Linked DNA regions of Mus musculus. The protein of the gene in region 5 purifies or fractionates together with the protein of the main gene of each other region. This does not show direct contact. Links are inferred from orthologs where the notes say so. Each region holds a gene or a part of one and is shown on either strand. Other genes may lie near its edges.

The links.
Region 1: the proteins of Nlrp3 (region 5) and Mavs purify together in Homo sapiens (affinity purification with western blotting; 4 studies listed by BioGRID and IntAct, with this or other methods). This does not show direct contact. The link is inferred for Mus musculus from reciprocal best matches to the Homo sapiens genes NLRP3 and MAVS.
Region 2: the proteins of Nlrp3 (region 5) and Usp50 purify together in Homo sapiens (affinity purification with western blotting; 3 studies listed by BioGRID). This does not show direct contact. The link is inferred for Mus musculus from reciprocal best matches to the Homo sapiens genes NLRP3 and USP50.
Region 3: the proteins of Nlrp3 (region 5) and Nek7 purify together in Homo sapiens (affinity purification with western blotting; 9 studies listed by BioGRID and IntAct, with this or other methods). This does not show direct contact. The link is inferred for Mus musculus from reciprocal best matches to the Homo sapiens genes NLRP3 and NEK7.
Region 4: the proteins of Nlrp3 (region 5) and Trim31 purify together in Homo sapiens (affinity purification with western blotting; 3 studies listed by BioGRID). This does not show direct contact. The link is inferred for Mus musculus from reciprocal best matches to the Homo sapiens genes NLRP3 and TRIM31.

The regions. Positions count from the first base shown.
Region 1 is NC_000068.7:131,238,557-131,245,109, forward strand, and holds part of Mavs (mitochondrial antiviral-signaling protein), read left to right. Parts: intron 1-179; 5' UTR 180-237; coding exon 238-354; intron 355-895; exon of another isoform or gene 896-986; intron 987-1,758; coding exon 1,759-1,936; intron 1,937-3,323; coding exon 3,324-3,493; intron 3,494-4,562; coding exon 4,563-4,716; intron 4,717-6,553.
Region 2 is NC_000068.7:126,775,914-126,782,466, reverse strand, and holds part of Usp50 (putative ubiquitin carboxyl-terminal hydrolase 50), read left to right. Parts: intron 1-1,896; coding exon 1,897-2,079; intron 2,080-2,340; coding exon 2,341-2,536; intron 2,537-4,358; coding exon 4,359-4,568; intron 4,569-6,553. UniProt on the Homo sapiens protein: Deubiquitinating enzyme that removes conjugated ubiquitin from specific proteins to regulate different cellular processes. Regulates the inflammasome signaling pathway by deubiquitinating 'Lys-63'-linked polyubiquitination of the PYCARD/ASC adapter protein.
Region 3 is NC_000067.6:138,514,211-138,520,763, forward strand, and holds part of Nek7 (serine/threonine-protein kinase Nek7), read right to left. Parts: intron 2,427-6,553; coding exon 2,318-2,426; intron 1,523-2,317; coding exon 1,415-1,522; intron 1-1,414. UniProt on the Homo sapiens protein: Protein kinase which plays an important role in mitotic cell cycle progression. Required for microtubule nucleation activity of the centrosome, robust mitotic spindle formation and cytokinesis.
Region 4 is NC_000083.6:36,906,124-36,911,764, reverse strand, and holds the end of Trim31 (E3 ubiquitin-protein ligase TRIM31), read right to left. Parts: intron 4,506-5,641; coding exon 4,431-4,505; intron 3,986-4,430; coding exon 3,944-3,985; intron 2,575-3,943; coding exon 2,048-2,574; 3' UTR 1,548-2,047; downstream 1-1,547.
Region 5 is NC_000077.6:59,551,454-59,558,006, reverse strand, and holds part of Nlrp3 (NACHT, LRR and PYD domains-containing protein 3), read right to left. Parts: intron 6,237-6,553; coding exon 6,066-6,236; intron 2,260-6,065; coding exon 2,089-2,259; intron 1-2,088. UniProt on the Homo sapiens protein: Sensor component of the NLRP3 inflammasome, which mediates inflammasome activation in response to defects in membrane integrity, leading to secretion of inflammatory cytokines IL1B and IL18 and pyroptosis.

The sequences.
Region 1 (6,553 bases), on a different chromosome or scaffold from region 5:
GTGCACATATCCACACTCATATGCATACTTTTTAAAATTAATAAGAGAAATCTTGAAAGAAAAGAGAAAGGAGTAAAAGTTAAAGAAAAATAGCCAAGATTCTAGAAGCTGAGAAAGAATTGTCTTCCTTTTCCTCCAACCGTGCTGCCAACTTGTTCTCCTGTCCATCTCTCTTCCAGTCCATCTCAGTCCATCCCACCCTGCCAGGGTCCGAGTCACTCCAGAAGCTGAGCAGCCATGACATTTGCTGAGGACAAGACCTATAAGTATATCCGAGACAACCACAGCAAGTTTTGCTGTGTTGACGTTCTGGAGATCCTGCCTTACCTGTCCTGCCTCACAGCTAGTGACCAGGTGAGCGAGGGACGGCACAGCTGGCCAATGGCCTGGGCCCAGGGCTGTGCAGTCCAAGTGTCAGCCTGGCCTGGCCTTTCTCCCAGGTCAGGATCAGCTTCCCCTTCCTTTCCTGCTTTTCTGACTTTTAGTGTGTTCAGCTTGTTTTTTTCTGACCTTGCTAAATTCCTTTCCTTTTTATATTGCACTCAAGAGTGTGGCAGGGGGTCGGCAGGTTTCCAGGCTCTGGCTCCCTGTTTTCCGGAACCTTCTCTTTGTTTGTCCTGGGGTCCTGCTTGGTTTTGATTCATTCTCTCCTAAGACCCTATCTTGGCACAGAGTCTGCAATGTCAGACCTGAGGACTCTGAGCCACCAGGGTCTTGCCACACCAGGACGTGCTACAGGGCTGCACTCAGCACCCAGTGAAGTGGCAAAACTGGGTTTATGTTTTGCTTCTTCTCAGATGGGATGGGCTCCTGTGCCCCCAGAGCTGCCTCTGTGTGTGTGCTCTGGGGGCCTCCTGTCCTAGGTATCTCGGGACTACTATGGTTTCTTGTGCAGATACTGTTAAAGCACAGGGCTGGGCAGTCAGGAGAGCGTGCTGGCCGGCCTCGCCCTGTGTTGGACATTCTTCGGGACACCCAGTCATCTTGTAAGTCATCTAATGAATATTTCCCATGTGTCACTTGCTTTTCTCTTCTTCCTCTTAATCTTCTTCCAAGTCTTCCTCTTTCTTTTCTTCTTCTTTCCCTCTACTTCCTCCCTCTCTCCCTCCCTCCCTCCCTCTCTCCCTCCCTTACTTCCTCTTCAGACAAGGTCTTCTTAGGTAGCCCAGTCTGGTCTTGAACTTGTAGTCCTCATACCTTAGCCTCCCTGGTGCTAGGATTACAAACTGATTGGTCATTTTCAAGTGGGAATCCAGTGAATCAGCAATCCTATAGCTGCTGTCATCTTCCTAGAACTTCCCCAGTATGCTCCCCTGCCTTGCTTCCCATTCTTGGCTCTCCTTCCCTTTAGTCTCTGCCCCTTTCAGAGCATTGTGGCTGGGCCTCTTCTCCATCTCAACTCATTCAGACCCTGCTCCTTGCTTTAGGGGCTCCCAGTCAAGCTTTGCCCCCTCTCAGTGCTGCTTCGCTTCTGCTCGGCCTCTGACTCCTCATCTGTAAAGTAGGAATGGTCATTGCATTTAATGCGACAATGCCTGCAAACCTTGATGTGGCCGCAGCCCTTTCCCGGCAGCTTCCTTTATTGTTGTTCATTGATCCTCACACCGTACTTGGGCTACCATCGTGGCCTTGGCCTGCCTCTCACTCAGTTTCAGACAGCTGCCCACTTCCTGTGGCTTTCTCTTGTAGTAGCTTTCTTCTGAGTAGAGAAAAGCCTAGGCCACCTGGCCTAAGGAGGCTGTCTGTGCTGTCTTCCAGGATCGACTGCGGGCTTCCTACAGGCAGATCGGGAACCGGGACACACTCTGGGGACTCTTCAATAATCTCCAGCGCCGGCCTGGCTGGGTGGAGGTCTTCATCCGGGCACTGCAGATCTGTGAGCTGCCTGGGCTGGCTGATCAAGTGACTCGAGTTTATCAGAGCTACCTGCCTCCGGGTGAGCATCCTGCCCTAGCCTTTTTCCTGGGCCATTGCCTGTTCCTCCGGCCCACAGTCTCCCCCTTCCTTCACCCTTGGACCTTCTGCCTTTCTGTCTCCATCACTCTCCATTGTAGCATATACCTGGATTTAGATCCAGCTGAGCCACTCACTAGCTATATGTCCTTTGACCATATTCCTTATTTTTTGAGTCTGTCACAGTGGGGCAAATGGCCACATCCCTCATGTGTGGCTGCACTTAGCTGGGGTTCCACATCTTCCCTTTGCCCAGCGCAAGGCACCTGCCATCATGTTTGTGGCTCTGGTGTTTCCTTCTGTCTCCATCTATACAGCGTAGAGAGTACAGAGTCTACACCCAGTCACTTTCCCTACTCTCCATTTCTATTCCCTGCCCCAAGGTTGCTCTGAGAGCATCCAGGTTCTAATGATAACACCCAACTGCCTGGTGGCCCCTTAAGTCCTCTCAATGTCACTGCCACGTCATGTGACCAGAGGGGGTTTAGTATTAGAGCTTGAAGAGAAGATCTGGGAAGAAAAACCAAGCCAATCTTGAACACACCATGTTTGCTTTTGTTTCTCTTTTCCTCCCTTCTTCCCATGTTGGTCTCTTCATTTGTGGATGCTGCAGTGCTCTCTCAAATAAGTAATGGCTATGGTAGGGTCAGAGATGGGCTGTGGCAGGGGTCGGTTGGGGATGACAGCTGTGAGAAAGCCTTGGGACAGTGGAGGAAAGTGAGTATAACAGTCAGGCTGGTGAGAGCCCTGTGCCCTGCTCCCCCATCTTTGGTGCCACCTTTCTTGTCTTTCCCAGCTCTTCTTTTCCTCCTATTCCCTCCCCATTGATGCTTATCATGTCTAATGAATCTTTCTTAGTCAGGGTTTCTATTCCTGCACAAACATCATGACCAAGAAGCAGTTGGGGAGGAAAGGGTTTATTCAGCTTACACTTCCATACTGCTGTTCATCACCAAAGGAAGTCAGGACTGGAAATTAAGCAGGTCAGAAAGCAGGAGCTGATGCAGAGGCCATGGAGGGATGTTCCTTACTGGCTTGCTTCCCCTGGCTTGCTCAGCCTGCTCTCTTATAGAACCAAGACTACCAGCCCAGAGATGGTACCACCTACAAGGGGACTTTCCCCCTTGATCACTAATTGAGGGAATGCCTTACAGCTGGATCTCGTGGAGGCATTTCCTCAACTGAAGCTCCTTTCTCTGTGATAGCTCCAGCCTGTGTCAAGTTGACACAAAACTAGCCAGTACAGAATCCATCCCACATCAGGTCATGGAGTTATTGAAGGGAGACTAGATGCCCCAAGCATCCAGGCCTCTTCTATTACCAAGGTACCTCTGATTCTTTCTGGACATCACTATATCTTTGTACCTTAGGGACCTCACTCCGCTCCCTAGAGCCACTGCAGTTACCAGACTTTCCTGCTGCGGTTTCTGGACCCTCTGCATTTGCGCCAGGTCACAACATCCCTGACCATGGCTTACGAGAGACACCAAGTTGCCCCAAGCCTGTCCAGGACACCCAGCCACCAGAGTCCCCAGTAGAGGTAAGTCCTCACAGTCTGTTTTAAGCTGCCTGCTTTTGTGTGCCTGTCTGCCCACTTCTGCCCACCCAGCCTTCCAGAAGCCCCTTCCTACCTCCTGAAAATCTTTCCTGCTAAGAATGCTGGGGTTACCTAACTGGCTACCTAACTGCTGGCCATACCTGTGGACCCCTTAGCATTCTGTCTTTAGCTAGCTAAGAGGTCATGGTTTTGAGGTCTTTGCAGTGGTCATGTGACATGTTGAGCTGGGTAAAAAAAAAAAAACAAAAAAACAAAAAAACAAAAAACTGGAGGTTAAACCAGATTTGAATGTGAGGGAGGTGATATGAGGGCTCAGGAAGTCATGGATGGGTGGTGACAGAGCTCTTATCAACTGTAAAGTCAGGTATCTGGAAGATAACTAGTTCTACTGAGATGAAGTGAGTTAGCCATGGGGTATAGAAGAAACCCTAGGCCTAGACAATGGGTCTGAAGCCATAGGGTCTGTGCAGAGACTGCTGAAGAAAGGGCAGTGGTTACAGAGCTAGACACACACATGGGGAGGAAACTTGGGCAGTGCCTGCTTTTTGTTTTGTTTTGTTTTGTTTTGTTTTGTTTTGTTTTGTTTTGTTTTTATGTTTTTTAAAGCACTTGAAGTCATCCCGAGAGGCTGGGGATGTAGCTTTCAGTTGGTGCAGTGCTGATCTGGCATACACATATCCCTGAGCTCAGTATCCAGCACCATAGAAACTGGGCATGATGACATATACCTCTAAGCCTGACACTCAGGAGGTGAGAAGCAGGTGAATGCAAAGTTCATAGTCACCCTTGGTAAGTTCAAGGCTAGGGTGAACATAAGATCTGATCCAAAAACAAAACAGCAACAGCAAAACCAAGTAGGTACTAGGATTGAAGACTTATATTTGGCAAGTATAATATTGAAGAGCTACTTCACTCTTATATGTGAAGGTTTCTGAGGATCCTGGGCTCTAGAGGAGGAGCTGAGGCCTGTAGGAGATACCCTATAAATATCTGCTGCCCTTTGTCAGCTCCTGGGAGAAGCAACTGCTTTATCTCATTTCCTCTGTTTCAGAATTCAGAGCAACTCCTCCAGACCAACTCCGGGGCCGTCGCGAGGATGTCTGGTGGCTCTTTGATACCCTCTCCTAACCAGCAGGCTCTCAGCCCTCAGCCCTCCAGAGAGCATCAAGAGCAAGAACCAGAACTGGGTGGCGCCCACGCAGCAAGTATGCATAGAGTGTGGAATTACAGGGTCTCTTGGATCCCTCGCAGGAAGGTTAGGGTTACAGTTACCATATGGCCTTCCTTAGACAGGAGGCAGGGTAGAAATAAAAGGTATTCGCTTCACAGAGTATGTTCTGTGTGCACGCCTGTGTGTGCAGTAGTGGCAGCAGCAGCTTCAAATGCAGTCATTTATGTGCACATGTCTCAGCTGGGTAGGTCTTCTTATCTCGCTGAGTTTTCTCTCAGGTGTTTACTGACATATACATGTGTTCTTCTACTATCCATTACCTGGTACCTCTTCATTCTCTTTTCTTCTAGGACAAAAACCCAACTCATGACATCTGGGCAAGGCTCTAGGTAAAAGAGAAGCAGAGCTCTGAGCATAGGCTCAGAACTGGCCTATTTCTCCTGCTCTGTTCTGTGGTCAAAATAGATTAAAATTTTAATTAATAGATTAAAATTTTAATCTGGCCAGCCCAGATTAAAAGCACATTGGAGGGTGTAGTTTTTTGCCCTGTGAGTGTGTATTTTTGTACATTGCTGCATATGAGAGAGAGCTAAGGCTGTTTCTGCACTCAGGTAAAAGGTAGTGATTGTCCAGGACCTGAAGACAGGAAAGATAACATACAATAGTAGCTGATGAAGGAGCTTTTAAACACTGCTCTTCACAAGGGGATTTCTAGTTCCCAGCTGTGGTGGTTTGAATGAGAATGGCTCCCATCGCCTTCTACATCTGAATACTTGGTCCCCAGTTGGTGGAACTGTTTAGAAAGAACTAGGGGGTGTAGTATTGTCAAAGAGGTAGGCTTGGAGGTTTCAAAAGCCCATGACATCCCTAGTTAGTGTTCTCTCTCTCTCTCCTGCCTCATGCTTAAGGATAAGATGTAAACTCTCAGCTACTGCTCCAATGCCACACCTGCCTGCTACCATGCTCCCACCATGATGGTCATGAACTCTAATCCTCTGAAACTGTGAGCCCCAAATTAAGTAATTTCTCATATGAGTAGTCTTGGTCATGGTATTGTCACAGCAATAGAAAAGTAACCAAGACACCAGAAAATCACACTAAAGTGGTTCAACCTCAAATGAGTCTGTCAGGGGACAGAACCTGGTGTCCCCCCTTAGGACTACAGTCTATCCACCCCAACTTCCAGGCTAGAGTGGCTCACCTCTACTTTCTAGACTGTGTTCTGTTTGTTCCTGGTGCCTTAGGGTTGCCATGTGAACAGTTGAAGGTCGATGGAATCCTCCTAACGCTCCCAACTTTCCCGAATGGCACTTCACTGTAGCATGCTTGCGAGCACAGGTTCTAGGAGACTTTCTGTCAGGTTTAGGGGGAGACATCAGACATCACTTCTGGCCTTTGTCAGCCATGGCAAGTGTATCCTCAGAGTTCTGTGAAGAGTCTGATGTCATCAACTTTATGCACTTCCTGATTCCCCGGATCAGACTCCCTTTCTGGGACTACTAGGTCCCTACCCCTGGGGGTGTGTGCCAGCGGGTCAGTTGACTGGTTAGTGGTTCTGTTGAGCCATCCTGCTATTGCCCCATTCAGGATTTCTCCTGCTAGAAGCTAGTGGGGGCGGTAGTAAGAGGAATGCCTCAGGACATTCGTACTCATGTCCTAGGACAAGGTAGAAGAGGCTGGAGTGGGAGAAGAGGCAAGTGTCCAGGGTGGAAGGAAAAAAAAATAATTAGAACAAGTTTTAAACTTCTGGGTGCAGATGAAGGTAGAGCCCATTTTACTTTGGTGATGGGACAGATGAGGGTTTCAAGGTAACGGCTGAGGTGCAAGAGTCTTCTCCACAGGAGGAGATTGGGAGACAGGATGTGGAAGGG
Region 2 (6,553 bases), on a different chromosome or scaffold from region 5:
ATGTGTGTATACATGTAAATATACGTGTATACATACTATACAGGTACATAGATGTATATATACATATATACATACACACATAGACATATATACACACATGTGTATGTGTATATAAGTATATATACATATGTGTGTGTGTGTATAAATATACACTTGTCTTTTTTTGGACACAGGGTTTCTCTGTGTAGCCTTAGCTATTCGTTCTAGAACCCACTCTGTACACCAGGTTAGCCTCAGACTCAGAGATCCCCCCTGCTGCTGCCTCCTGAACGCTAGGATCAAAGGTTTGCACCACCAATAACTGGCTATGTTGTATTCTTTTAAAAGATATCATTTATTATGTGATCTAAGCTAAGCACCTTGCATGGCACCTGCATGGCCCTCGCAGTAACCCTGCCAGGAAGAGGTAGTGTTCCTTGTTTTGCTGGGGGATCAGGAGCTTGAGGCCAAAGCCAGTGCCTCACACAGGCCAAGGACACTTTCTCATGCTGAATGTTTCTGTGTTATAAATGAGCAAACATAAGAACCCTAATCATAAATATATATAATCAGTTATTAGCGTAGCAATGTGCATGTATGCACACATATGTATGCATATATACATACCTGTGCCCTTAACATATGAATGTATATGTTCCTACTATGTGTATGTATCATGCTCACTATAGCTGTCTCCAGACACCAAAAGAAGCTACAAAGGCTCAAAGTTACAACCCTTTAACGGCCCCATAAAGCACTTGCTGGGATTTGAACTGGGGTCCTTTGAATCCATAGTCAGTGTTCTTACCCACTGAGCCACAGCTCCAACACTGTATTATGTTCTCCATATGTCACCTATAGAGTTATATTCATTCTCAGCATATGCTGTAATTCCATATAATTTAATGGCCAGGTAAGGTAGGTAAATGCCTTCATTTCTCCTGCATCACTATGTGCTTGCCCTTGGTATACTACTGTGGGCAAATGACTCACTCACATAAGCTGGTTAGTCCACCTGTAAATGGGATTTTAGAAGGACTGTTTCTACCCAGAAGAGCTGTTGCAAATATTTAATGGGGAATGTATATTAAATGTTTAATATAGTCAGACTAAGTACAAAATGTCTATGATGTTACTGTTAAAGCAGGAAAGGCTTTGGTTTTTTAACAGCTGAGTTTGGATGTTTAGCCAAGCCACCCTGAGACCTGGACGGCAGGTTTACTCTATCTCTTTACTCTCTTTTTAGGAAGAAACTTTTATTTATGTCAGACATTCAAACATTTATGTCATTCAGAGTTCTGGGCCTAAGTTAAACTCCTTCTGTCCTTGGTAGAGAGTGAGTTTGAGAGAAAAACCCACTAAGAATCCTTCCTAGCCAATCAGAGAAGTACACACCTTTTTTGTTTTGTTTTGGGTTTTCGAGACAGGGTTTTTCTGAGCCCTGGCTGTCCTGGAACTCTCTTTATAGACCAGGCTGGCCTCGAACTCAGAAATCTGAACTCAGAAATCCGCCTGCCTCTGCCTCCCGAGTGCTGGGATTAAAGGCGTGCGCCACCACCCCCTGGCTAGAATTACACATCTTTAATCCCAGCACCCAGGAGGCAGAGGCCGGGGGAATCTCTGTGAGTTCAAGCCCAGCCTGGTCAACGTAGCCAGTGCAGAGCCAGCCAGAGACACATGGGGAGGGCCTACCACAAAACAAAAGGAACAAAACCCTTCTTGCCAGGCTGGTGACTTCTAACTTCAGTCACTGAGGTGTGAAACAAGAGACTTGTCAGTTCAGAGAAGGCCTAGGTTATCAGACCTTGCCTCCCAGCCACAAAAGAGCACTTTTATTTCAGAGGTTGCCAGGGTCTGAGCGGCACTAGCACTCATGCTCTCCCCTGGAAACACTCTCCTTCCATGTGGCCCACACAGTGCGGAGTGTGCAGACTATGACTCCCTGCCGGAGTCTAAGACCCAGCCACACTTCCAGGGCGTGACGGGACTGCGGAACCTGGGCAACACCTGCTACATGAACGCCATCTTGCAATGCCTCTGCAGCGTATCTCCACTGGTGGAGTACTTCCTGTCCGGAAAGTACATCACAGCTCTTAAGAAGTAAGAGGAGGTCTTCCCTGAGTCTGCCCCACCCCAGCTCCCCCAGGTGAGGTGAGGAAAGGACCCGCTGGAGTCCTTGTGAAGGGCCACAAGCCCAGACACAGTAGGTCCCCAGAGAACACACATGGAGGGTGCGGAGAGCAAGGTGGACAGGGCTCTGGTGCAGGGGCGTGGACGGATCCCTTGCCACGGAGACTGGGTCTTTTCTTTTCATTAAATCAGCAGGGAATATTTGCCCTTTGCCTCTGCTCTTCTTCTCAGGGACTGCAGTGAGGTTACCACCGCCTTTGCCTACCTGATGACAGATATGTGGCTTGGGGACTCAGACTGTGTCTCACCAGAGATATTTCTGTCGGCTGTTGGCAGTCTTTACCCAGCTTTTCTGAAAAAGACACAGCAAGATGCGCAGGAGTTCCTGATTTACGTCCTCAACGAGCTTCACGAAGCTTTGAAAAAGGTAAGAACTAACAAGTCTGAGCTAGGAGATGTAGGCTGTATGTGTATTCAGACTGCATGGCCTGCCCAGCACCTGCTCTGGTGCTGGGGTCCTGAGGAAAATGTCCAGGTTAGGATATTTGTTATTTAGTGGTTGTTTTGCTTTTTTTTTTTTACTTAAAATTTTAAAAAATTTTTATTGTTTATGCATGTATGTCTGTGTACTACTTGTTTGCCAGGTTCCTATGGAGGCCAGAAGAGGGTGTCAGACAATTTCCATCCACCATCCATGTGGGTGTTGGGAATTGAACCCAGGTCCTCTGGAAAAGAGCCAGTGTTTGTTTTTGTTTGTTTGTTTTTTCGAGACAGGGTTCCTCTGTATAGACCTGACTGTCCTAGAACTCACTCTGTATACCAGGCTGGCCTCCAACTCAGAGATTCCCTTCCTGAGGTCTGGGATTAAAGACATGCGCCGCTACTGTCCAGTGCAGCCAAAGCTCTTAACCACTGAACCCTCTGTCCAGTTCCTAAAATTATTTTTTTTATTTACTTTTATTTTTTTCTGAAACTAAGTTTTACTGTGGAGCCCAGTCAGGTCTATGACTCGGAATCTTCCTGCCTCAGCCCTGCTCCATGTGCAGATATTATAGACATCTGAAATTCTCACATTCCTGTGCTGAAGAGCCCAAAATTACTCCAGATGTGCTCAGACATTCAGAGGATCATAGCCCAACTGGTTCAACAAAATCAAACAGCTCAAAACAAGACAAAACCATTCCTCCAAGCCAACAGGAAGGCAAAAAAGCCCAGGTCCAACTGCCCAGGAGGAATTCACCTGAGTTTAAAACCAAGTGTCTAAACACTGCTTCTTTTTCACAAATACAAAGCAGCTCGGGCTGGATGAAGCTTGAGATCAAAGTCCTCTCAGGAAAGCAGTTCAAGGCCAACCTGCTTCCAATGCCTGCCTAGCTTGCCAAACTGTTACCAATGCTTTCTAAGGGTCAAAGCCTGAGCCCTAAAAGCCTTAACAAGCTAGTTCCAGCCCCCTGCCTTCCTCTCTAGGACAGTGAGAGGCAGTCGCACTGGGGAGACACAGGAGATCTGTCCGGCTTGCCTACACCGGGAAGAACCCATAAAGAAGTTGGTTCAGTCGTCCTCAAGTCAAGTTTGGGTACTGACATGAGGTTTAGATTCAAATAGGTGGCTAGCAGCGTAAATAACTAAGAGTCTGTTCAAAGCCAGTGCTGCGCATTCCTGAACCATCACTGTATTGGTACCCATCTCTCTTGCAAGATAGTCTGACAAGTTGTTGCAGTTGTGTTTAATCTCCTGGGCTCTTCCATCACCCACACCAAGCTTCATTCAGCCACGAGAGCAGCAATTCCAATCTCTTGAGGACCATTGTTTTTAGTCTTCTGATAGCTAACGGGAGGGCACAAATGTCTCCCCGTGAAGTATCTGATCTCCTGCCAGGACAATTATGGTCATTCTTCAGAGCCATCCTGAAAGGGAAATAGCTGCATCACCAGATGTCACTCATGGCTTATGCTGTCAATGTCTTAATGTTCCCTCTGAATCCAAACTGTTTTCTCATCCACGTATCACTTGAATAGAGAAAGCCGCCATTCTGTTTTCCGTGGTTTTTTGTTTGTTTGTTTGTTTTTGTTTTTTCGAGACAGGGTTTCTCTGTATAGCCCTGGCTGTCCTGGAACTCACTTTGTAGACCAGGCTGGCCTCGAACTCAGAAATCTGCCTGCCTCTGCCTCCCAAGTGCTGGGATTAAAGGCCTGCGCCACCACGCCCGGCTTCCGTGGTTTTTATGTGGAATTTGTCCTTTTTCACAGCACTGCCGAAGAAGAGTGAATGAGAAAAGAACAGGCCAAAGCTGCTGCAGGAAGGTGCCGGCCCAGGAGACCTCCATCATCACCCGGCTGTTTGAAGGACAGCTCAGTTACAGCATCACATGTTTAAAGTGTGAGAGCTGCACGCACAAGAACGAAGTTTTCACCATCCTCTCCCTCCCCATCCCATCTGACTATGAATGTTCCCTCCAGGTAGGGAGCCCCCAGCTCCTGAATATATTTTCTTGTTTTTGAGATGTGGGGGGAGGGGTGCGTGGTAGTGGTGGTTCTTGTTGTAATCCTGCCTGAGTCTCTCAGATACTGAGGATTACAGTGTCGGCTGTTATTTCCTACAATTTTAAGTAGGAAAGGGCTGCATTATGCCTCAAAGCCATAAATAAAGGTGGTCCATGAATGAACAGCATTTTTAAAAAGCAGCCTGTTATAGTTACTGTGGATTTAATTTTATTTCTAAATGTACTCAAGGCAAAGCCCCACTTAAAACTTTAAATATAGGTGAGGTTTATTCAGTCTCTTGAGATGAGCAGTTTGTGATTTCTTACAATGATATCATGGCTCCCTACCCACACTCTATAGTTTAAAGCTAGAACTAGTCATAATAGATTCTTTTTAAAAAGATTTATTTTGGGCTGGTGAGATGGCTCAGCGGGTAAGACTGCTCTTCCAAAGGTCCTGAGTTCAAATCCTAGCAACCACATGGTGGCTTAGAGCCACCATTAACAAGATCTGACGCCTGGTCCGTCTGAAGACAGCTACACAATGTATTTATGTATAATTAATAAATAAAAATTTTAAAAAAGATTTTTTTTTTTGGTTTTTTTTTTTTTTTTCGAGACAGGGTTTCTCTGTGTAGCCCTGGCTGTCCTGGAATTCACTTTGTAGACCAGGCTGGCCTCGAACTCAGAAATCCACCTGCCTCTGCCTCCCAAGTGCTGGGATTAAAGGCGTGCGACACAACACCCGGCTAAAAGATTTATTTTTATTACACAGTGTATGCTTGTTTGCCTGCATGCATATGTGTGTACTATGTGCGTGCTCAGTGCCCGAGAGGGCCAGTAAAGGGCGTCAGATTCCCTGGAATTGCAGTGCCATGCGGTCTGGATAGAAGCTGTGTACTGTGTGGAGAGAGGGGGTCTGCAGCGTAGTTTTCCTCTCTGATCGTCTTGACCACAGTGCTCAGAGTGCTCTGTAAGTGAGGGGTGGGTGTGGGAGGAGAGAGCTTGGTTAGGAACCTTTGGGAATCAGGAAACATTTTCCTTGCACAATTGCACAAACCTGTCTTGTTCTTTTGAGACTGTAAAAGCACATCTGTTGATGAGTTTTTGTGTATACAGCTGGGGAACAACAGAAGCCTGTTATGTGTTAATTTTGTTTTCCACTTGATCAAAAGGCTAAATGAAGTTCACTAGGAAGAATGACAAGTTCTGGACTGAGGCACTGGCAGGTCTAGTGGAAACAGTCTGTTTGTTCTCCTCTAAGCCAAGATCTTGCAGAAGCAGGACCTGGCTGTAGACGTCATTTTCCTGGGTGTGGACTCAAATTCATCTGAAAAGTGTCACCCAAAACCATGAGATATGGTCATTTTTCAGGCCCACCCCCTGTTGAGCTGAGTCAGGGGATACATAATTATAAAAGAGCTGTCTGATTTGTTGGTAGAAATTTCAAAGTCTGTGTTTGAAAAGGTAAACCAGAAATAAACCAGAAAAGGTAACGCAATAGAGTGGGAAAAGAATCTAAGCCTATCCTAACAGTCCAGTGAAAAAGCATCTCTTGTTGCTAGGTAGATTTTTACTTATTCTTTACCCGGGGTCTCACTATGTAGCCCTGGCAGCCCTGGAACTAGGTATGCAGACCAACCTAGCCTTGGACTAGAAGAGCTCCTCCTGCCTCTGGGTTAAAGGTGTGAGCCACCCACCAGTCCTGGCTCAACAAACGAAAACAGTTGCTAAGCAGATTTTATGGGACTCGGGCCATGGGGGTTGGTAGAGTGTAGTTCCTGGGTTTGTTCCTTAGAAAAATTCCCAGATGCACATTTGCACAGCTCCTCCAAACTTCTTTGGTTTGGTTGTGTGTATAAAAGACGGGTCTCTTTGAATTACACAGGCTGGTCTCAAACCAACCATTCTCCTGCCTCCACCCAACATGCAAACACCACAGAGTTCTGCTTTTTCTTCTAT
Region 3 (6,553 bases), on a different chromosome or scaffold from region 5:
CACGTGCAATTAGTGTGTGTGCACATGCAATGATAAACTAGTGTTTCAAGTGAGTTACTGACAAGGTGTTGTTAGGACAGCAATCAGAGGAGCAGCACAGAGTGGCAGTGTCTTTAGTAGGAAGGGCTATGGCTTCTTCCTAGAAATTGTCTACCACACCTACTATAAGAATTGTAACTTCTCCAATAAAACTTTATCAAAGGGTTATGCAAATTTGCTGATTCCTTATGAGGTTTCAGATCAAAATCTTATACCTGGAAAAGGCCTTGTAGTTATGTGACTGTAAGTGTGAAATGTGAAGGAACTAACTGCTTCAGGACATCAGTGTGGAATCATATGTTCTCCATAACTAACAAAGTGAAATTCAGGGAAGTGTAAGCATTTCCACGACACTGTCCGTCAAGCCAAAGTCTACTCTAGAAACAAAATATTAATAAGTGATAGATTCAAGGTGCACGGAAGCTCAGGAACAATGCTTAGGAACAAACGCCTTCAAATGTCTCCAGCCATGTATCCGGAAGCTTATTTCCCTGTTTGGCTATTTAGTTTACATCACTGTTCTTTAAGAGCCCATTTAAAAGCTCCTCACTCCACATCTAAAGACTGCTTTCAAAGAATTAATGACTTTCAAGGAAATTATGACAGCAAAGATAGACACAACTAAATTAAGGCCAACTTAATTTTGTTTTAGTTCTTATTTTAAAAATCAACACTTCCTGTATTTTATATGCACTAGAAGAAAAAAGGTGACTTGGGGAGTCATGAGATAATCTACTTTTAACACAAGTTAAAAAACATTTCTTCTAGGAATTTTTATTGTTTCTGATCCAAAATAATTTTTCTTCCCATTGCTAATACAGTGTTGGTAGTTACATCAATTCTATTTTAGGTGCAAAGGGACATCAAAATAATGTTAACTCAAAAATGAATCAACTGTGGGTATTTCTTCCATTCTGTAAATAGAGAAATTTTGTTTCTCTTCATTCACTATGAGTCATCATCCTTAGGTTTTCTCTCTTAATAGTTATCACAGTTACACGCCCATTGAATAAATAAACATGTATGAATTATTACCTCTGGCATTTAAAAAATATCCAGTGAAGACTTCTTCCAAAATACAGTTTTCCATTAGCTCACAGTCATTACAAATAAGACAAAAGGAGTTCTCCATGGCAACAGTAAAAGCCAGGCTTATCAGTATTATTCAAAAAACCAGCACAAACAACAAAAACCTCAGGGCCTGCTTCAGTTTAAATAAGCAATCGTGTAAAAGGTAAGAGGGAACTGTGAGCACCTGTCAGGAGCAGCTGACTCCTAGGCAAGCAGCGCCGTAGAGCTGGTGTGACCTGTTTTAAACCGTGACCAACACAATCACACACGTAACGGACTGAAGCGGTGAAATCATGCCTCTTACCTAAAGAATGTGCAGCTGTGGTTTTGGAGCTGAAAAACCGACCAAGCCCAAGGTCTCCGAGTTTTACTACCCCAGTGGCTGTAATGAACACATTAGCTGGTTTTATATCTGTGGATAAATGAAGAGATCAGGTGAGAGATGCTATAAGTTTGGGAATCTGAAAGGAATACGAAATTTCCTCCTGTGGAAGGATTCAAAATGTCTATTAAATATGAAGGTCTGAACCGAAAGTCACTCACTATATTTTGAATTATTCTCATATATTTCAAACTTCTTAGTCCAATTAATATCACAAGGAATACGGGTGAAAATTTAAGGCACAAAATAAACATGTGTCCCCCTTTGTTTAATGGTGTTAAATAACATGCTGCTGAAAAAGGAATTGGTACATTTACACAAGTTATAAAATCATACCTTAGCAATATTATGTACATTGTATTCATTTCATGGCTTCAGAAATCACAATTCCCTAAATAATTTGCTTCAGATCTGACAGCCCCAAATAAGTGGATCAGTCACTTAGTGACTTGAGTGCATTATGTCTGCCCAACAACTGGACTGACCATGAAGCATCCCTGAAGGCCTGAGGCTGGGATGCCACAGTCTGCTTGTCTGGAGGAGACACGACAAACCCTCTTCCTAATGCACATGCACTGTCCCCCACAGCTTCCCTTTCTCACCCAGAGAACCAGCAAGGTATTGAGAGAAGTCGGGCAAAGCATAATTCGCATTATTTATCATAAAGCAGGGCTTCACTTTAACGCTTACAGTCCTGACAAATTATAATTTAGACATAAATTATGAAAAACAGGTAATGCCGTGGACTGAATGGAAGCTATCTTAAAGTGCTTGGTGGCGAATGTCACTTAAGATGCTGCTGCAGACTTCCCGTGCTTCTCTTACCTCTGTGCATGACTCTTCGAGAATGCATGTGGTCCAGTGCACTGCAGAGCTGAACGAAGTATTTCCAAACGGTTCTCTCAGGGATTAGCCTCTTTTGTTTCTTAAAGTGCTGTTTAAAATATTTTTTTAAAAAAAAATTAGTGATTCTGAGAAATCAGATTTCTTAAAGTTGAATTCCAGCATTGCGAATCAGTAAGTCAGAAAAAAATCAACTTTTATCCCCTCGTTATTATTTTTTAAAGTATAATTTTCCATACTAAGACGACTCCAGAAATTTCACTTGACAGAATGACTTACATTTCCTCCTATTTGTTCTTAAGCTATGGAACACTACTACTCTGTAATGTCCAACTACTTTTAAAAAAATACATCTATCTAAAATGACTTATCTCACATCTCATTTCAAGAAGGACTACGGTTTTAGGAAATGAAGAAATATTAAAGTAGACTCGCTAAAAGACCACTCTTACTGAGTATGTTGCATTAGCTGATTAAAGTGTGTGTCTAGCATGCCTGGGTTCCATCTACAGCACCACAAGAACAAGCATGGTGTTGCATGCCTGCAAGCTTAGCACTTGTGAGACAGAGGAAGTGGGTGAGTCAAAAGTGCAAGCCCAGCACTTGGGAGGCAGGTGCCAGAGAGCAGAAGGGCAAGCTTATCTTCAGCGAGGTAAGGAGTATGTAGCCAGCCTAGCACATAGGACTTAGTCTTAAAAACCACCACCACCAACAACAACAAAAATAGAAATAACAAACAAACAAAAGACAGTCCTGCTTCAGGCAAATGTCTCCACTCTAGAATTCTAGTTAAAGGTTGAGCTGCATGGGTGACTAGAAACACCATAATTTACTAAAACTTAAGTCATGGTATAAAAGTTTTCATGAGTGTATTCACTGCACATAACAAAGCAAAGCTGTCTTTTGAATGGATGAAACTACGTTCTGGAGAGTGAGATGGTCACAGGAAAGCTGAAGCAAAGCACTGAGAGTATCAACAGGCTGTCGGAGGGAGGGGTCCAGAGACTGAAAGGGAAACTGCTAAACACAACCAGAAGCCCACAGCTACAGAGCAGCGTCGTCCAGTTTCCTGTCTTAAGTTTAACAGGAAACTATGAAAGCAGCATAGCAAGATCCAAGCTCTCAGCCCCACTGGATACTCTGTATATAAAAATCATTTTTAAAAACAACAGTGCAGTGGGTTTCTTACTGAATAGTACTTATAAATTACCAACATGAAGAAACGGTACCTTTAAACAGCTTTTTTTTTTCCTACAAAGCTTTAAAAAAAAATCTTAACTTTATGAAGCATATGTCCTAACATCAACTTTTAAATCTGTTTTTTTACTGTATTTGAAAACCACATTTGGAAAAGTTCAACCAATTAATTTTTTGGTATTGAATGCAAAAAAAAAAAAAAAACCCTATATTTGAGAAAGTGAAAAGCCAGCCCTTCTGAGTCGCACCTGTGGCCAGCTGAGGGCTGGCTAAAATGGCAAAGCTACAGGGAAACTACTGGAGTCCTTTTCCATCAGCAACAACCAACACCCCCCTGCCACTGTGCCCACTTGCTAGAGGAAGAAAAAATGTCTGTTTAAAAAAAGGTAAGAATACTAGGCTAATTTTTCCTACATAGCACATGGCTGAAAAATCAATTACTTTTTGCAATTTCATTAGCAAGTAAGTCAGTAACCTATTCTAAATGACCAGGTAATAATGAAAGTAGACCACTGTCCTTCTAACTATGGAGAAATGCCCATATTGGGTTTCAATAGGAAGGTTTTCTTTTATGGCAGACTGTGTCAACATCAGTTTTCACTGGAAGGAGACAATACTGAAAATTCAGCTCTTTACACATAATTTTCCTTGAGACTTGGAACGCATCCAATAATGCCCGTGCATGCACCCCCCTATGCCACATTAACACATCAGAGGGATGACTGATGCCAACAGCAAGACGGGTACCGGGTCTCTTCATTCAAAGATGCACTGCATCAAGTAGACATTAGAACATGGAAGAAAAATTTAATGCTTTAACAGAGTCTAAACTCATCATAACCATAATCAACTTGGCAGTTGATTATTTTAAATAACTTAAAAACGAAGACTGTAATATAATTACCTCATTTCCCTGTTCCAAACCTTCCCACGTACCCCACCCTCCCACCCCACCCCTGCCCCTTGAATTCTTTCAAATCCATGGCCTCTTTTTCTTAATTATTGTAAGTGTTGGTGTGTTTCTGTTTCTTTTCAAGTCTCATTATTAAAAGACAAAATATAAAAGGGACACAGGAAAAACCCTGGACACAAAATGCACATTAGGGTGAAGAAGACCTGGCAGTATAAATTCTTCTCAGATACTGTTTCCTATAACAAATTAAAAGGGAGGAAAGCAACCTGGCATGAGTGTCATGCTGACCTGACAAACCTTAGGAATCTCACTGAAGAACAACATGAACTTGACTACCAGGCAATAAAGTCTGATTATTCGACTGGTGGTCCTCAGTTTCTAAACTGTCTACTTAAACGCTTGGGCTTGTCAAAGAGTCTTTAAAAGGAGGGCTTCGGCTGTTTCCGGAAGCAACAGCTACAATGTTGCAAACCTATCGGTTCTCACCGTGGCACTATTGCCTGCCTCCTAAGAGAGGGTGGGGAACAAAGCTACAGAAATTCCTGACTCACTTTTAATACAAGGCTGCAAGGTTGACATCAGCAGTGCTCAACTTTCTCAGAGTCACACACCTCTTTAAAATGGGAATTTTTTATTCGCTAGCAGGATAGCAACGCTTTTCAAAACTCCTACTTTCTGAACGCTAGATATCCCTGTAATAATACTTAATTCTGTATTATAAAACACTTAATGCAAACAAGTAAGACTTAAAATTAAACATACATAACCAATGATTAACATAAGGAAAGTTTCTAAAAATTAATAACAAAGTATTTACATGAAAGGTTATGTGTTGTGGCACATTTACCATGTTCATGCTACGAAACAGAATGTCTTTAAACCCCAAATAAAATATGTAAAGGTCTGAGGACAAAGGTTGCCACTCAGGTTTAATAGATCACTTGGATATAATATTTGGGTGGGTTTAGTGTCTTTATAAAGCACACTCACCTTGAAGTACTGTATGTATATTCTAACACCATTAACAATATTGATTTTAATTCAATAGAAAAACTAAATGTAACACAGAGCTAATTAAGTTATAAACTTAAACACAAACGTGATTACACTATTGCTGAAGTGACTTACTGCTATGAAACACAGGCTTATACAAGCAGCCCCCGTTCAGTATTTAAGAAAAAAATATCCAAAAGACACCTTTGGTTTTAACAGTAAAGTTTCCTGCATATTGAATGTTTAACACTAAACCCATGTATAAATGGGCTCTGGCTAGCTCAGTACTACTCTTGGAACTCAGAGAAACCTTGGCTCTGCTTTCTAGACCCTGGAGCCCCGGGTGCACGGCTCATGTCTCAGTGTGAGTCTTTAGCATCCTCAAGAAATTCCCGAGAAAGCTTCATTGAAACCACCCAGCATACATTCCTAACAGAGAAGGAAAAATGATCCTGACTTGAAACAGGTATGAATACCCATGGCATATAAAAATAATTAAGCCTGTAGTTACACATGCTAATCTTTGTAAACCAAAAAACTTTGCAAGGAAACATCTGGTATTCTCGGAGGCAGTGTCATAGACAGACAGGTAGCCATGTAGAATCTGTATCAGCTACTTGGTTTAAGGACCCTTCCCTGTCACCTCAAAGTGTCTCAATTGTTTTCTTGTCAAGGAGCCCCAAAATTATATAGCTTCTTACTGGAACTTATATAAAGCAACTCTTAAAGATGTACTCACTCCAGTGGTTACATAGTAAAAACAACATCAAGAAGTGACGTTAAATATAAGGAAGCTTTTCCTACTTGGAATGTTTAAATGTGCCTCGAACAATGCACACCTGCCTCAAGAACAGAACTGATTATGAGGTTGGCAATAATTAGCCATGTGACCTTAAGCCAGTCACTCAACAATGATGGTCAGTTTCCCTACTACATTAGACAGAATTCGGGCATGATCTAACAAAGTGCCCTCCATCTCTAAGTACTATCTGTGGCTCAAGAATTTCAGAAACAAATAACACATAAATGTCTGTTTGGCACATTTTCACACTTTAAAACAGGTAAGTTTACAGGTCTGTCATATCCTTCAAATCTTTGGTTAGTAATAATGCAAA
Region 4 (5,641 bases), on a different chromosome or scaffold from region 5:
TTCAAAGTGGGTAAGAAGACTCACAGTGATAAAAACAATTTTCAATAAAAATAATAGGGCTGGCGAGATGGCTCAGCGGTTAAGAGCACTGACTGCTCTTCCGAAGGTCCTGAGTTCAAATCCCAGCAACCACATGGTGGCTCACAACCATCTGTAATGGGATCTGATGCACTCTTCTGGTGTGTCTGAAAACAGCTACAGTGTACTTACATAGAATAAATAAATAAATATTAAAAAATAATAATAAAGAATAGTCAGAATCAGCCAGGTAGTGATGGAGTATGCCTTTAATCCCAACACTTGGGAGGCAGAGGCAGGTAGATCTCTTGATTCAAGGCCAGCCTTATTTACAGAGTGAGTTCCAGGATGACTGTTTATGATCCCAAGAAAATGCCTTTAAGATATTTAAAGAACAGCAGTCAAAAGAGACAATTGTCTGGAAAACTGGCAGGCAGCTTCCAAGTAGCTGAAAGCAACTATTTTGACCCAGTCTGACACCTGAACAGTTACTCTCAACTTGAGGCCTACAACACTGTAAGAAAGAAAACATTCTTAGGTTGTTGTATTTAAACAAATCAGAAAATGCAGCCAGAGCAGAAAATACAATGTTAACAGCGTAGGTTATGGTTGTAGAGGAACATTTGGTTTGTACATAACACAAAGGATATAATGATAACATACCTGCCAATGAGAAATTTACAGAATGTATACCTGCCTCTCCATTTTGAGTCAGAGTCTCGCTGTGTAGCTCTGTGTATTAGCTAGGATTTCATTGCTATGAACAGACATCATGACCAAGTCAACTCTTGTAACTGACAATGTTGCGGGAAATATTAAAAATGGAACCTGCCAACTCCCCGAGGGGTTGGACCATGCTCCCGTGCTCCTGCCGCCGCCACTGCCAACTCTCTGGAGCTAGCCCCTGAAGTAACTGGCTTGCTTGTCCAGTGAGCCTCTAGTTCTCTCTCCACTATAATCCTTTGTAACTGGCAGTCCCACACTCCAGTAACCAAATAGATCCACCACCCTCTAGGTTTGATAATACAAAACCCAGTAACCCAGTAAAATCAGACTCTTAAAGCTTAATTAACCATTTTTTATAGTTAACCAATTAGATTTATGTATGAATGGAATCACAATTTATAAAATGCCAATAAATAATTTCAGAGCCTATTGATAATAATAAAGCTTTAACCCAATTATTCTGACCTTTTGATAACACCACATCAGCTTCCATTCTCCTTCTCCGTTCTCCTGAGACCTCTCTGTCTCTGCAACTACTCGCTCTGCCTCCCTTTTCCCTGTCCAATCACATGCCTTGCCTGCACTAATGTAATTGGACAGGGAAAATCCTGCAACACTCCCCCACTACAGAAATGTAAAATACATTAAAAATTTTATTGTAAAACGTAGTATGCTATATGTGTGGTTCCCTTGACAATCATTTAACCTATTCCAGTGGTAACCAGCCTTAGGCTGGAGGGACAGATGAGGCTAAGAATATAGATATACCTAACCCAAAATTAGAAATTTAAATCAACATGGAGGGTGGTTTACAATTTTGCTTTTAATTAGAAGACAGAGCTGTTGAGGATGACAAAGTTGCTTTGAAATGTCAAAAGGTTTTATTCTTGATTGTAGATTGTCCAAATCTACAAACGGGGCATTGGCACAGAACTGGCCGACTCTGTACAACCTCTGGTTCTCAGATCTCAGGAAAGGATGAGTCACAAGAGTTTCAGGTAATACAGTAGAGAAAGCAGCAGCCAATGTGTTGGACAGCGCCTTGCACCCCTGTGTCAGCAGGGTGCAGCCAGAAGCTTTTCTGAGGTCCTGCTACCAAGTGCAGCACTGAAAAACCTCGTGTATAGTCTTTGGGGGGTATTCCACTGTCTTCTCTACTTGGGGGAGACAGGGAGAGGAAACATCAGGTGATTGTGTGGCATGTAGAGTGTCAGAGTAGGGCCACACTTCACTTCTACCATTTGTCTCATCCCGTCCTGAGTGATAGGTGGGAAGAGACTGAGGAACACACAAGCGAGCAGCCCTAAGGGCTCAGGGTGATATGGCTGCAGGCAACTTGGAGCCCGAAAAGGGGGAAGACCTTCCCGTCAAAGGAAGTTTGGAAAGTATAGATGTGTTTGCTAGTGATGGCATCATAGAAGACGACCTCTCCACAGTCATGATTCACATAGACACCCACTTTCTTAAGACAGACCTGGAGGTACTCCTGGGCTTTACAATTGGTGAATGGCTGGCATCCAGAGGGCGAGATCCGCAGTGCCCATATGTAGCTCTGCGCGCTCACGGTTTGACTCTGGGCCCCTCGCGCCAACTCTGTAACCACGCCCACAATGCATGCCCCACCTGAGGGCCCCCGGATTTCTGCCTCCCACACCTGGCGGCCTGAGGAGAGGCCTGGGGAACCCCTCACACAGTGGAAAGGGTAGAATGGTCGAGGTTTTGCCTGCCTATTGGAAGCTTTTCCAGCTACAATATACAAGGTCACTTTCTTTAGATCCTGAGAAAAGGTGAGGTCTGGGTCAGCTGAGGACTTGTCCAGGGTCACAGGGACTGTGGGAAGATAAAGAAGAGGAAAGAGGTATAGCCTCAAGTCAAGTTGTCCAGTCCCCTGCTTTTGAGTTTCTCATGGAAGGAAAAATTTCTCTTTCAAATCCCAAATTTAGTCTCCAGGACTACACACACACACAGAAGTGCATACACAAACAAATGCACACACACACACACACACACACTCTACACATATACATGCATTGAGAGAAATGCATACACAGACACATACACACACCACACTGAGAGGAGTGCATACACAAACACACACATACTCTGAGAAAAATGAATACACACACACACTGAGAGAAGTCTACACACACACACTACACACACTGAGAGAAGTCTACACACACTATACACACACACTAAGAGAAACACATACACACACACTATATATATATGCAATATATATGTGTGTATATATATGTGTGTGTATATGTGTGTGTGTATATGTGTGTGTGTATATATATCTGTATATATGTATATATGCATTGAGGGAAATGCACACACACATACACACTGAAATAAATGTATACACACATTGAGAGACTTCTGATCTCCACTCTGTGGCTCTTACCTTCTTTGTGTGCAAATACACACACACACACACACACACACACACACACACACACACACACACAAATAGCCAAGAAAATAAAATGGGCAGCATCCAGAGGAGAGCAGCCTATACCTCTCCCCAGCTCTCCTCTGTAAGGAATGTGCTGACTCAGGGGCAACTAGAGGCTGGCCAGAGCTCAGGCTCACAGCCAGCTCCTCCTCCAGGAACCTAGCATGAGGGGCTCTGGCTTGTTCCAGAATTATGTTGAAGGAGCTGTTGCCTTACAAAGGATGTCTCAATGCGAAAGGGGATGGAATGGGGCATTAGATGGGCTCAGTTTTATTGATTCACTGACATTTGGGGGACAGGAAAGGAGAAAAGAGAGGTCAGTAGGACAACAGGCACTGCTGAGCCCCTGAGACAGTGGGAGGGACATGGACCAAGTAGGGGGACCACATTAGGGGAAGGTGGAGTTTAGGAAGCAGAAGAGGTGTGTGAGAAGCTTGCCCTCACTCTATGTCTATCTATTTCTAGGACCTGAAGTCTGCACAGTTACACAGTCCTCTTCCCTCACCCCCTCTCTCCTGTGGTGAGCCTTTTATTATTCTCTCTGTTCTCTTCTTATCCCTGCATCTCTCAGGGGAGCTGAGAGCAGTCATTCATGCAGGGAAGTACCTCTTCTTGGGGTCTGGTCTCTACCTTTCCCCTGCTCTATCAGAGCTGTGTAATGGACAGAACATTTTGACCTGCAGACCTGGAGGTCCCTTGCTTCCCCCTCAGGAAGACCAATGTGCTAGGAAGGAATCCTACCTGAGGTGGGCAACACTGAATTATTCTTCTGTAACAGGCTCCCTAGAAATTGGAGATAGAAAGCAAATTTTAGGTTGATAACAAGAAGTTACAAATTAAAAGCCATATGGAGGATTGACAGCTGAGCCTGGCTTTTACCCTAGCTACCCTCATAACTGAATCACTTCAGATGCCTTCATCGCGGTCACAGCTCCTCAGCTGGCACCATAGGTCAGTTCCAACTACAGACCGAGCTGCCTCCAGCTGAGCTTTATGGAACTGAGAAATGAATGTATACATTTCCATTCCTCTAGAATATTTTTTAATTAGTGAAAAGGTGTCACTATCTTATGATTATCTCTAGATTTAAAAGGATAAAACAGTTCTATAAGCTTGTTCTTCACTGGTGTTCACACACACTAGACCTTCCTCAACCTACCAATAAGGAGATAACCTCCCCTTTTGTATTTCTCATTTTCCCCAAACAGCAGGACCAGCCCAGACTTACAGCTCTCCTTTTCTTCTTTATTCAGGCTGTTCATGAATGCGCTTTTATCTCTCTTCCCTTCGGCATTCATATCGTCTGTGAGGAGAGAGTAAAGGAAATGCAGAGTCCATAGAGGTTAACCAGGGAACTAGAACCACACAGCGAGGCACTGATTTCTGGGAGAGGTGGGCCTGGGATTCCTCACATTGTCTCAGTGGACCAAGAAGGCACCGAAGAGGAATAGGTGCCCTAGGGGCTCCCCACAGTGGCTCTCCAGCTCAGCTCTGTGCAGAACAGACACGAACATCAATCACTGAGTGTTGAATTTTCTAGAGGCCATTTTGGAAACATAAAAGACTAGAGCACGCTGATATTTAGGAAGCTGAGACAGGAAAATGGCAACTTTTAGGCCAGTCCACAGTACATAGTGAGTTCCAGAGTCTGGGCTATTCATACAGTGTCTCAAAAGAGACTAAAAAGGGGGCTGGAGAGATGACTCGGAGGTGAAAAGTTAGTGCTTTTCATCAGTGGACCCAGAGTAAATTCTCAGCACCCACTGAAACTCCAGTCCCAGGGGCTCTGACACTCCCACTCCCTTCTGACCTCTGAGGGCACCAGGCATGCACATGATACGTGCACACAAAACAGCCATTCAGATAAACTAAATATTTTTTTAAAAAAAAGAAATAAATACAATGGATTTAAATAATATACTTTTTTTTAGCTCAGAATTTTAAAAAATATCATTTCAGCATGTAGAATAAAAGACGCATGCTGCCTGGGTACAGTGCTGGGTGCTAGAGTCCCTACTACTCAGAAGGCTGAGGGAGAATTCTTTAGTAAGAGACTACCCTGGGTGACATGATGAGATCCTGTCTCAAAATTTTGTATTGCTGTATTTCTGTTTGCTTTCGTTTGTGTTGCTGTATTTTATGTTCTATTTTAATATTGTTTTTCAGAGTCGGTGTGTATTCTTTATCTACACTACACGAGAATGCTATATTCTGGTGCCCAGGGGTACATGTAGCTAGCAGGAACCAAATTGGGAACATTCATCTAGCTCCATGTTCACCACCTGCTAAGACAAAAATTCCGAAATTATCGGTACTTTGGCTCTGGGGATGTAGCTCAGAGTTCTTGTCCTGGGCTCCACTCTCAGACAGCATTAAACCTGAGAGATTGCCTGTTACAACGCAGCACGAGAAATTTCTGGATATTGATGCTTTGGAAAT
Region 5 (6,553 bases):
AATAATAATGGTAATGATAATGATAATAATAATAATAATAATAATAATAATATAAAACCAGGGTTTTAATGTATGTGTGGTAAAATCTGTCATCCTAACCACTTTCAGAGCAGAATTTTATTGAGGCCTGGTAGCAGAGGCCTGCAGTCCCAGTTACTCAGGAGGCGAAAGCAAGAGGATCAAAAGCTAGGGAGTACCTGGGCAACTTAGCAAGACCCTGCTCAGTATGAAAAAGGAAAGGGGGTGAGGTAGAGTGCTTTCCTAGCACGTGAGAGAACCTAGATCCAGCCCCCAGCACCAGAAGAAGAAGAAGGAGAGGAAGGAGGGGAGGAGGGGGGAGGAGGAAGAGAAAAAGGAGGAGGAGGAAGAGAAAAGAAGAAGAAGAAGAAGGAGGAGGAGGAGGAGGAGGAGGAGGAGGAGGAGGAGAAGGAGAAGGAGAAGGAAAAGAGAAAGAAGAAGAAGAGAAAGAAGAAGAGAAAGAAGAAGAAGAGAAAGAAAAAGAACTCAGTGTTTTTTAAGAGCAGCCACCGTCACTATCCATTTCTGATTATCTTTATTTTATAAAACTGAAACACCTGTTAAAACAAAACAAAACAAAACAAGCAAACAAACGAAAACTTCCCACTCATTCCTTCCCAGTCCCTGGAAGCTACCGTTATGCCCTACATTATGAATTTAAGAAACGTTATGTAAGTGTAATCATAGTGTTTGCCTTTTGTGACAGATTTATCTCACTTAGTATTGCACCCTCGAGGCTCGTGAAGATTTAAGCAAGTGTCCTGATTTGTTCAAAGCTACGTATGTGCAGATGCCACCTTCTGACCAGTGTCCATCAACAGACACGGAGAAGTTTCTAACCTCTGGCTGCCGTTACTGACATGCTCTGGACTTGATGTTGCAAACACGGTTGCATAGCTGGCAGATGCACCCGAAAACACATGGATCAAGTACAGGTCCATACTCGTGTGAGAATCACTGTGCTGGTTGCCGTGGTTTATGTTCCTGCTTGCTGTTGTTTTACGTTCCTACTAGAGCAGGGGTTCTCAACCTTCCTAGTGCTGTGACTCTTTAATCCAAATCCTCATGTTGTGGTGACCCCAACCACAACATTATTTTCGTTTCTACTCCATGGCTGTGATTTTCCTTCTGTAAATATCTGTATTTTCTGATGTACTTAAGCAATTCCTGTGAAAGGGTTGTTTGACCCCCAACAGGGTCTCAATCCACAAGTTGAGAACAACTGCATTAAAGAGACAAAAGGTTCCAGTTCTCCAAGTCCTTACCAACACTAGTCCAGTTTCTTATTTGTTTGTTGTGCGTTTGTTTTCTATAATCATGGTGATGAACTATGAGCCACCACCACCTGATCAAGTGGGGTTTTTGTTCCTTTTTGTTTGTTTGTTTGTTTGTTTTTTGTTTTTGTTTGTTTGTTTGCTTGCTTGTGTTTTTGTTTTGAGACAGGGTCTCATGTAGCCCAGCCTGGCCAAAAATATGTAACCAAAAATGAGCTTGAGCCTTTGATCTTTCTGCCACCACATCTGGTTTGCTGGTTTGATTTGGTGCTAAGGATCAAACTTTGGGCTTCACATATGTTAGGCAAGCACTCCGTCAACTGAGCTGCATTCCTAGCCTGCAAGCACTCTCTTAACTTTTTAGAATTCTCGTCTCCTAGAAGCGTTCAGTAAGGACCCCACACAATAAATATTCCATTGCTTAAGCGCTGCTTTTTTTCTATTTAGTGTGAGGATTTATTATGACCTCTCAAAACCGTTCTACCATGATGCTTAGCAGTGCTTCTGTTTCCTCGGATATCTTAAAGACAGTTTATTTGATGATTTATAAACATACACACACGCACAGACATACACACCACTGCTATATTTTCCCATTAACTCCCCGCACAGCAATCACTGGCTGACTGAACGACTGGCAAACTAGCAGAAGGGAGCGCAGGAAGCCCTCCAGGCCGCTGAGAATATTCTCATCCTCACACAGGAGCTGATGATGGCTCGCTGTGTCTCCCTGAAGCAGAGTTCCTGAATTGGGCCTCCACAGCAGAGCTGCCTAAGGGAGGTAGGCCAGACTCACCACAGTTTCTGGAGGTTGCAGAGCAGGTGCTTCAGTCCCACACACAGCAATCTGATTCCAAAGTCCCCCAGGGCATTGTCACTGAGGTCCAGCTCCACCAGCTTCTGGCTGCTGCTCAGGACAGAGGAGATGTCGAAGCAGCATTGATGGGACAGTCCGCAGCGCCCCAACCTTCACAGCGAGAACAGAATCAGACATCAGAGAGAGGCCTCTCTCAGGATCCAGATCCTATGCGTGTCCCACGCCTACACGCTCACACTATGGGGGGCGGGGACTGAAACCTCTGGGAAGTGGAGCCTAGAGGAAGACACATGGGATGTATGGACACTGAAGGGGGTGACCTTAGGGAGATACTGAAATACTGTTTTGTCTCTCTCTATCTCTCTCTGTCTCTCTGTCTGTCTCTGTCTCTCTCTGTCTCTCTGTCTCTGTCTGTATGTGTGTCTGTGTGTCTGTCTCTTTCCCCCTCACTCTTGCTCTCTTCCTCCTTTGTTCCTTAGCCTCATGATGTGCATAGACTCCCCGACCATATAATGCTACCACGATATTCTGGCTCATCACAACAGACTTGACTGACCATAGGCTAGAACCATGAGCCAAAACAAAGTTTTCCTCCTTTTAAATTGACTGTCTCAGGTGCTTATTTCATGATGGAGAGCCGGCTCGCACAGCCTCCTTCCCTGCTATCGTTCTTCAGTTTAGATGCAGTTTCTGTATTCAGCAGGAGCCCGATGTGTTCTGGGGTAACCAGAATTCCTGAGCAGCACACAGGACACCTTAGAAGTGGGAGGGGGCCTCATGGTGAATGCACCAAGCTCGTGTTGGTCTGCACTTCGGGTGCACAAAGGGTACATCCTGGTTTGTAAATGACAAGGGTGGTGAGCCTGGAGCCCCTGCCTTCCAGCGTTTCTAATGGTTGAAGTCCCCTCACGAGGCATGCGTGTGGCTAGAGTTCTCGTTCCCATGACATTTTTGTCTTTCCGTGCGTTAGGAGAATGTGATCCCCGTGCTCTCTTCACACCGAGGAGAAATTTAGGAAGCAGAACTGACCGGTGATCTCATAAAGTTCCTATTCTGCTGGGTGGGTCAGGGACACCAAAGCCACACTCAGGAAGACACCGATAGGAAGGATGGGGGAAGTTAGGGTCTCTCTGTGCTTCCCACAGTGCCAACCTCTTGGTACATGTGGCCTTCACTCCGTTTCCTTCTTGGTGAACAGATCTCTGTGAGCCACAGAGAAGAGCTGTGGGGAAATGTCAGCTAGGCAACACTCAGGGCTGGGTCAGCGTGCACCCCTCACCCCCATTTGTGAGTCCTTTTTTGCACTATTGTTTGGCTGTGGTTTGTCCCCAGGAGGCCACAGTCAGAAGCTTGGTCTTCAGCGTAGTGATGGGAGAGGGGCTGAAACCTTTAAGAGCTGAGGCTAAGTCCATAATAATGATGCTGCTGTAAGCACGGCTCTCCAAAGGAGTGAGAGGAGTTTTCTCAGGATCCACTTAGTTCTCCACAGTAAGGCCAGGGAAGTGACTCAGCGGGTCAATGCTCTTGCCACCCTAACTTATGACCTCATCTCTGTCTGTGTCAGGAACCAATTTCCAAACTTGCCCACTGACTTCCACATGCATGTTGTGACGTGTGCAGGCCCACATACAACAGACATCGGTAACACAACACACACATACACACACGCGCGCGCGCGCGTACACATGCACATACCATAAGTTTTTAAAGAAAAGAAAAATAGAAATGTTCTTTTTTAAGTGTATGGGTTTTTTAATTTAAAATTTTATTTGTTCCATATACTTGGAGTTAAACAAAATAAAGCACAAAATGGAGTGTGTGAAATTCAGAAGCATAAGACAGTCATAGCTCACAGGCTAGAAGGGGAGACATTGAAATATACTATGGGGCCGGAGAGATGGCTCAGTGGGTAAGAGCACTGACTGCTCTTCCAAAGGTCGTGAGTTCAAATCCCAGCAACCACATAGTGGCTCACAACCATCTGTAATGGGATCTGATGCTCTCTCCTGGTGTGTCTGAAGACAGCTACAATGTACTTACATATAATAATAAAAAAATCTTTAGGCCGGAGCAAGTGGGGCTGGCAGCTATAATTGTACTCATATACATAAAATAAATAAGTAAATCTTTTTTTAAAAAAGAAAGAAAGTAATATACTATGGAATGGACTTTGTGGCAATGCTACAGTTAAGCTAATGTAGGGAATACATCCAAAAGAAAATTCATCAAAATAACAGCACAAAAATCTACAGCTAACAAGCCAACAAAGAAAGATGGAGTAATCATTAGTTTTCAATAACACTCAGAAATAATAAAATAATTCTCAATAATATAAAGCCACTGGGAGAGCAGAATGGGAGAATTATTTATTTTTATGTGTTATGAATGTTTTGCCTGCATATATGTCTGTTTACCAAACTTGGGTCCTCTGCCAGTACAGCAAGAGCTCTTAGCTGCCAAGCTATTTCTCCAACACCTCGAGTTTGGTTCACAACACCACATGGTAGCTTACAGCTATCCATTACTACAGTTCCAGGGACTCCAGTACCTTCTTCTGGCCTCCAAGGGCACCAGGCATGCACATGGTACACAGACATATGTACAGGCAAAACATTCAGACACATAAAATAAATAAATCTAAAAGAAAAGAAAAAGCAGATGTGGAGAGACAAAACACCCAACATCCTTCTGAGGCACACACACTCTTAAAGACCGGTGTGCCCTGGTGTTCCAAAGACCACAGCGAAATAACAGGAATTCTTCCCCAGAGTCATAAGCTAAGCTCACTGTAACATCCAGCACAGTGCTCCTGGCCCTGGGCTGGCCAAGTGAGGATGAGAGACTGTGAACAGCAGCTTATACAGAAAATAAAATTGAGTTTTTACAAATGGTGTTGGAAAGATATATAGTACGAGCAATAGGGAGATAGAGAAATACTCAAAAGAAGTGAACGTAATGGCAGGACGCCACCTCACGCTCTTAGACCCACAAAAGAAGCTGAGGAAGGGAGAGTGCTGGAGCCAGAAAGTAGGCCAGCTTGGGCAACATAGTGAGGTCCTGTCTTTTAAATAAGTAAATAAACAAACAAATGAAATTTAAAGAGCTATGTAACTTGTTAAAAATTCAGATGCTACATGAATCCAGAGTATGTGTTAAAGGCCCAAATGTGTCCCTCCAAAGCTTCACGTATCAGCACATTTGATTCTATTATAAGTGTGCTGGCTGAATGGACTGGAGGTAAGTTTAGAAAGCTGTAGACAGGGAAGATGAAGAAGAGCTGAAAGGAGCTATTTGTTGGTGGCAAAACAAAGGTTGTGTTTTCCATTTCTTCATGGACCAGGCTTCTGGGTGAGAACTGGGAAGTTTCATCACAGATGCTGTTATGGGGATGAAAAGTTTATCTCCTCAGGTTGGCCTCACTAGTACTACCCACGTGTTCAGCCTACTGTGATTTATATGCTGTACTCTGAGCATCTGAGTCCCCAGCTGGGCCCCTGGACCCTCCCTCCAGCTGGGCCCCTGGACCCTCCCTCTAGCTTTATTTAACACATACTGGAAACAGGTGCTTCAAACAGGTCGTTGAACAGAATTCAGTGTTAGCCCTAGTGCCGTTGGACTGGTATCAGTACAAGGAAAGGTTGTTAGAGGTTGGAGGACAGACACACAGCTAGAAGATGATGCAAAGATTCAAGGAGAAAATGGCCACCTACAAGCCAGGGAGAGAGACACAGAACAAATCAACCAATGGATATGTGATTTTGAACTCCTAACAGCCAAACCTGAGTGGCCACAGTCCACCCAATACTGTGCATGGAAGCGATATTCTCCCAAACGCTTACTTCTTAGTTCATTGGGTTTTGTTCTCAATCCCATTCATTAATCATCTTTCTCTACTGTCTTCTCCCAATCATTCTACACACACACACACACACACACACACACACACACAGACTTACCACAGTCTCTGAATGTTACAGCCTGGGTGCTGGAGTGCCTCACACAGCACCCTCATGCCCGGGTCTCCCAGAGTATTGTCACTGAGGTCCAGTTCAGTGAGGCTCCGGTTGGTGCTTAGACTTGAGAAGAGACCACGGCAGAAGCTAGAAGTGAGGCAGCAGTTCACCAGTCTAGAATGGCAAAGGAGGAGGCCAGAAGAAAGGATTAGTTTCCAGGAACAACAAACTGGAGCTCAGGACAGGGATCCTGGCACCTGTTCATAGCCGTCTCCTAAGTGTTAAGCCACCAGTCACAGACCTACTGTCCAGGCCCCTCCTTCCCAGTCACACCGTTGTTTCCCTGGCCTGTTTGCAGCTTAAGTGGCCAAGGAGCATCTTTGACTCAGGCTGCCCAGATGCAGCAGGAGTGCTGTCAAAATGCCCAAGGCCAGGCTGCAACCACAGAAGTGAAGTCTGAGTCTTAAAAGAGTGACACAGGGCTGGTGAGA